2 linked regions of the Xenopus tropicalis genome follow. The protein of the gene in region 1 binds, or shares a complex with, the protein of each later gene. Links are inferred from orthologs where the notes say so. Each region holds a gene or a part of one and is shown on either strand. Other genes may lie near its edges.

Region 1 (4,449 bases):
GAGTGTCTATGGCACCTTACAGCAGCCCCTCTGGCATTTGCCAGAACCCACAGATTGCCAGTCCAGGCCTGATTTTCAGTACACAGAGGCCCAAACAGCCCCCATAGGCCCAATAAATAGTGAGTGTCTATGGCACCTTACAGCAGCCCCTCTGGCATTTGCCTGAACCCACAGATTGCCAGTCCGGGCCTGATTTTCAGTATACAGAGGCCCAAACAGCCCCCCATAGGCCCAATAAATAGTGAGTGTCTATGGCACCTTACAGCAGCCCCTCTGGCATTTGCCTGAACCCACAGATTGCCAGTCCGGGCCTGATTTTCAGTACACAGAGGCCCAAACAGCCCCCCCCCCCCATAGGCCCAATAAATAGTGACTGACTATGGCATCTTACAGCAGCCCTCTGGCATTTGCCTGAACCCACAGATTGCCAGTCTGGGCCTGATTTTCAGTATACAGAGGCCCAAACAGCCCCCCCCCCATAGGCCCAATAAATAGTGAGTGACTATGGCATCTTACAGCAGCCCCTCTGGCATTTGCCTGAACCCACAGATAGGGATAGAACAAGGCAACCTTCCTACCCACCTGATGGAATGGATAACCCAATAGGCACATAAATCATCCAAGGGACTCTGTTGTTATATTGCACTGTGCACTTTTATGTACATGATGGGTTACAGTTACATTCATATACAGACAGTAATGGGTGTAACAATATTGGGTCACACTTCCCCTTTAAAGGAACAGTAACACCAAAAAATGAAAGTGTATAAAAGTAACTAAAATATAATGTGCTGCTGCCCTGCACTGGTAAAAGTTGTGTGTTTACTTCAGAAAGTCTACTATAATTTATATAAATAAGCTGCTATGTAGCCACGGGGGCAGCCATTCAAAGGAGAAAAGGCACAGGCACATAGCAGATAACAGATAAAACACTATTGTATTCTACAGAGCTTATCTGTTATCTGCTATGTAACCTGTGCCTTTTCTCCTTTTTTCCAGCTTGAATGGCTGCCCCCATGGCTACACAGCAGCTTATTATATAAATTATAGTAGTGTTACTGTAGCAAACACACCAGTTTTACCAGTGCAGGGCTACAATACATTATATTTTTATTACTTTAAAGCTCTTTCATTTTTTGGTGTTACTGTTCCTTTAACCTTACAAATGGAATGTGAGAGCCAGGTTGAGATAAGGGGTATTGAATCCCAACTCAACCTCACCCTGTACCCAGTTTAAGTCATTTCTGATAGAGGGGAGTGACTTTTACATTAAAATACTTCAATGCGATATAATTTGAGGCATTCCGAGCTCCCCATGAAATTAATGTCAGGGTAAGCAATATGTCAAAGTTTGCCCATTCACTGCCGCTGAACTTCCTCTGTTGCCAGTATGAAATATGGCCGCCGCCAACTAACTTCCCTTTTTTTTCTTGCGCTACGTTCAGGAAGCTGCGCCGGAAGTACCAGGGAGCCGGTGACCGGAAGTTTGCAGTGGAGAGACTTGTGTGTGTTGGTGAGGCAGAGAAAGAGTGTTGTGTAAGCGGCTCATGTGTAGGATATCCCTACGCCTGCTCTCACACTTTCCTTCCGCTGCTGGGACTGGGATATCCCTACGCCTGCCCTCACTTTCCTCCCATCAGGTGCTTCATTCAGCCGGGGCTGTAGCACAGCCACTAACCTGCGCCATTAATCATTATATATAGAAAGTCATTGTGCTGTATGCTTCCCTTCCCTACTGAACTCCATTCTATATTGCCTTCCTATCATGCTACTGCCTTAGGGAAGGGTCAGTCAAACAAGGACAAGTCTAACTACAGCTCTCCCATCTCTATATATCTGGGGGGGGGGGGGCTTGAAACTACTCTCACCAACAGAAAACTAACTATATATATATATATATACTATACTAGTAACTATACTATAACCCCATTAGTGAGTATGTACTGTATATAGGGTCACCATTCTGGCTTTGTACTGACTTTACCAGCCCCTCCCCATAGAGGCAGGATAATGCTTATCGCTTCGCTTCATGCAACTGTCTGTGTGTGTGTGTATTGAGACAATTGAATTCTATCTTTTATAGATCCCAAGGGAACCTGCCCTGAGAAGCGATGGCGTCGCTGGTAAGTGGTGTACAAGTACCTGTGTTTGTCTGTATGTATGTATAACTTTATTTATAAAGTGCCACAAGGGTACGCAGCGCTGTACAATCTTACAATATACACAATTACACACAGGGAGGGCAAGTGTTATAATAAATACAATAAATAAATATAAATACATGGGGAGTAAGTGCCATGTGGTATGAGACAGTAGGAAGGAGGTCCCTGCCCCGTAGAGCTTACAATCTAAGTGAGTGTAACACTCTTTCCTTCTTCTCTTCTTCCCATTTGCTTTAGCAATCTGCCAGCTACTTTTTAAAGGAGACATATCCTATAAAAATGATGAATGTAATGTGTATGAAAGTTGTGTTTCAGACTGATTTATTGAGATATTCCCCCAAAACCCCACTAGTCCTGCCCATCTGTTCCACTTTCTGCTGGCTGAATTCTCTGGATGTGCAGGGGAGCCGGCGGCACTCTGTACACTGCTTTGTAATATAGGAACCAATCAGCAGCTAGGCTGACCTGATAGGGAACTGAAGCCTGTCTGTGCTTGTGTGAGTGCAGGGCTGTGACTGGCTACTCCCCTCCTACTGTGCTTCTGGCAGGGACCGTTAGGACACGCCCACCCCTCATTTCAAACACAGACAGAGAAGTGATAGGATCTATAGGGAGCGCCAATAAAGGGGCCATTGTTACAGATAGGATTAATGTTTAGCCCAAAGGGAAACCAGCACCGTATATTATTCATAATTGCCTACAGGATTAGGGTTTTTCCCATTTATCCAATATGTCCCCTTTAAAAGAGAAGAAAGGCTAAATGACTGAGTGATCGCTTACCTGATACCCCAGGCTGGTGCTGCTGTTAGGAGAAAACTGCCCCGGCCCAGGGTATATGTGAGAGAGCGTTCCTCTTCCTCCTTTATTCTGAATCCCGGGGCAGTTGAGTGAAACAGACAGCTTTATTGTTAGTCGGCTCCTCACTCTACTGCGCGTGGGCAAAGACCGAAGCAGGAAGAGAAACACTGGCTCACATACACCCCAGGCTGGGGCAGTTTTCTCCCAATAGAAGCACCGGCTGGGGGTTTCAGGTAAGTGATCACAATCACTGGGGGGGCTAATATTTTGGCTCCCCCCACCCAGTGATTGTAACTTTACTTCTCCTTTAACAGAACAGACATTACTAATGCTTATTCCTTTAACCCCTTGTCTCCCAGCAGACTTCTTCCCCAGCCCCATTCCTTTAACCCCTTGTCCCCCAGCCCTGTGCCAAATTGACCAGCAGACTTCTTCCCCAGCCCCATTCCTTTAACCCCTTGTCCCCCAGCCCTGAGCCAAATTGACCAACAAACTTCTTCCCCAGCCCCATTCCTTTAACCCCTTGTCTCCCAGCCCTGAGCCAAATTGACCAGCAGACATCTTCCCCAGCCCCATTCCTTTAACCCCTTGTCTCCCAGCCCTGTGCCAAATTGACCAGCAGACAATCTTCCCCAGCCCCATTCCTTTAACCCCTTGTCTCCCAGCCCTGTGCCAAATTGACCAGCAGACCCCTTCCCCAGCCCCATTCCTTTAACCCCTTGTCTCCCAGCCCTGTGCCAAATTGACCAGCAGACTTTTTCCCCAGCCCCATTCCTTTAACCCCTTGTCCCCCAGCCCTGTGCCAAATTGACCAGCAGACTTCTTCCCCAGCCCCATTCCTTTAACCCCTTGTCCCCCAGCCTTGTGCCAAAATAACCAGCAGGCTTCTTCCCCAGCCCCATTCCTTTAACCCCTTGTCCCCCAGCCCTGAGCCAAATTGACCAGCAGACTTCTTCCCCAGCCCCATTCCTTTAACCCCTTGTCTCCCAGCCCTGTGCCAAATTGACTAGCAGACTTCTTCCCCAGCCCCATTCCTTTAACCCCTTGTCTCCCAGCCCTGTGCCAAATTGACCAGCAGACGTCTTCCCCAGCCTGTGGCCCTGCTACTCTTATATCTTTCTGCCAGAGCAAATCCAGTAATGGTTGTTTTCTCTTTTATCTCTGTATTTACTGAAATTCTCATTCCCCACAGGGCACCAGTGGCCAGTCTGTTACAGAGTATGTGGTGCGTGTACCCAGGTAAGTAAGCAGTCTGTTACTAGTGGATATCTGGGTGCACTTAGCTGTGTTCTCTTCTCCCAGCCTGGTAACATCAATATGTCTGAGAATACATGCTTAACCTGGGATGTCCCTGTACCCAGATAGTATATCCTTCCCATTTACTGTGTGCAGTGTCCTGATATTTCTCCATAGATATTCAATGCATTCTCTCTTCTCTCTGTTGGTCAGGAATCCAAATAAGCGGTACAGTCTCATGGCATTTAATGCT
Region 2 (2,291 bases), on another chromosome or scaffold:
GAAGTCAGATTAAAAGGTCTGCGCTGTTGAGCTGAAATATCAGTGTGAGGAATATTTAGCGGCAGTGGCCATCAGTAATGTAGCACCTGGATCAGTGCTAGCTTGTTCCCCAGGTGTGGCAGGAACGTAGAAGCAGCCGAGCGCATATTTGGCCAAACAAAGAGTGGGATTCATCCTGGTTTTTGATACTCCTGAGAAAGGTGTCCCCTCCATGGGCATTTCCATAGCAACAAGTGCAGAGACATGGGCATACAATGGCTCCTCTGTTCTACCAAAAAAAAACAGGTAGATGGTGGGGGAGGTTTTGAACATTTTTGGAAGCAAACAGGTGCATGCTATTCTCCTTGCATGGAGCTTAGAATTCATCCTGTCGCCCAAGTTTTCTAGTCACTAAATGGCCTATAGGCTGTCAGTTTTGTTACTATCTAAAGGCAGTCTCTGCTACAAAAAGTAACCCTTCCTTTTAGCCTGCTCTCTCTTTCTTCAGCAGATATTTATCAGCAAACAGATAGCTGTGTGTGAGGGTCTTTTGTGTTTTTATTAAATAAAGCATTTACATAAAAAACAATTATGTACAACAAGACAAAAGAGAATAAAACTGGTGTCAAAGATTTCAGGCTTGGAAAGTCAAGGACTGACGACAGGTCTTAGTCGGTAATGATGAGTTCATCCACCCCCCAGTCCTCATAACTGCCGTCTGGAAGGTAACGTCGTATGATTATAGGGATCTTTCTGGCTCTGTGGGAACAGAAAGAAACTTTAGAAGATCACTAGAATATACAAGCATCCTCAATTATATGTTAGCTTGCAAAGAATCCCAGTAGTTGTAACTCAGAATTTGCAGTCACAAACTGGCCTTGAAAGAGGCCAGTTAGAATTTGCAAATATATATCCATTTCCATAATAATATGGGTTTTTGGTGTTGGTTTTAAGTCATACCTCAATTTTCTCAATATTGGAAGTTCCTGAACATAAACCAAAGCTAGATACTATGAAAATTGAAAAGTATTTCAAAATTGCAAACAAAGATTCATGCAAACCGTGTTTAGCATACCCAACTGGCCTCTGTCAGGTGGAGGTTAGACAGTTACATATTCTCTGGCAGATGAGAAAAACTTACTTAAGTTCCTTCATGGCAATAAGTAGGGGGTCCGTTTCTCCTTCAAGCTCCACCATGACAGGGGCACACATCCTGTATTAAAGAAGGAGGACAAAAACTGAGTGAGGGTGGTAGGAACTAAGTGAGGCTCTCTCTAAATGTTTTATAAAAGGACTTATTCACATAACCTGAGAACAGGAGCAACAATAGCAAATAGGTGGTCAAAAAGAAATCAACTTTCAAAGACAAGCTAAAGCCATAGTTTGCGCTGAATTCTGAAACCGGCACTTCTTAATTTCATTGAGAAAATAAAAGAAGGTTACTCACTGCTACACAGTCCTATTCTGCTCCATGCCAAAATGAAGTGTGACCTGTCAGGATTACTTAAACGACCATTGTCAGTCACTTAATAGAGCTCTTTGGCAGTCAAAAGGAGAGCAAACTGCCATGACACTACAAACCATTAACACTCCAGTGTTCTGTACTTAAACGCTCAGCAGCAGAGCACTTGAATCAATAAAACGTGGGTTTTTGTTCTCCTTTTAAGTGGTGCAATGCACACATGATTTCACTATACTATAGTGTAGCCAGAGAATGATATTGCTATATTATATATACAGAAATCTTATTTTGTTATGTTATAACCAAAACAAGCTTTTTCTATACTATATTCCAGTACACTGTTGCTTTGCTGCTCTGGGATCCTATGTTAAATTGCAGTCAAACAAGGAGTCCACATGTTCCCCACATGCTTGCGTGGGTTTTCTCTGGGTATTCTGGTTTCTTCCTATACTCAAAAAATATACAGGGAGACTAATTGGTTTCTGATAAAATTAGACTGTAAGCTCCACTGAGCAGGAACTGATGTGACTGAAGCACAATTTCTGTAAAGCACTGCGGTGCTACATAACCTATAATCATAGTATTATAGTATCACCAAAATCACCATCATCACTGGGGGGTGTCAAAATGTTAGCTTAACAGAAACCCCCAGCCAGTACTCCTGTTAGCAGAAAACTGCACCGCCCAGGGTGTAAGCGAATGAGTGTTCCTCTTCATCCTTCTTGCATGCGTAGTAGAGTGAAAAGCCAAACTTTAACGCATGCATGGGCCCCAGGATTACTGCAAAAGGAGAAGGAAGGAAGATAATTGCTCGCCTGCATTTACCCGAGTCAGTGCAGGAGTACCGGTT

What was found.
Region 2: gtf2f1 (region 1) and polr2f share a complex: the UniProt entries of both Homo sapiens proteins name them as parts of the TBP-based Pol II pre-initiation complex. The link is inferred for Xenopus tropicalis from reciprocal best matches to the Homo sapiens genes GTF2F1 and POLR2F.

What each region holds. Positions count from the first base shown.
Region 1 is NC_030679.2:140,874,343-140,878,791, forward strand, and holds the start of gtf2f1 (general transcription factor IIF subunit 1), read left to right. Parts: upstream 1-1,519; 5' UTR 1,520-2,111; coding exon 2,112-2,123; intron 2,124-4,152; coding exon 4,153-4,199; intron 4,200-4,409; coding exon 4,410-4,449. UniProt on the Homo sapiens protein: TFIIF is a general transcription initiation factor that binds to RNA polymerase II and helps to recruit it to the initiation complex in collaboration with TFIIB. It promotes transcription elongation.
Region 2 is NC_030680.2:122,156,792-122,159,082, reverse strand, and holds the end of polr2f (DNA-directed RNA polymerases I, II, and III subunit RPABC2), read right to left. Parts: intron 1,193-2,291; coding exon 1,121-1,192; intron 739-1,120; coding exon 648-738; 3' UTR 520-647; downstream 1-519. UniProt on the Homo sapiens protein: DNA-dependent RNA polymerase catalyzes the transcription of DNA into RNA using the four ribonucleoside triphosphates as substrates.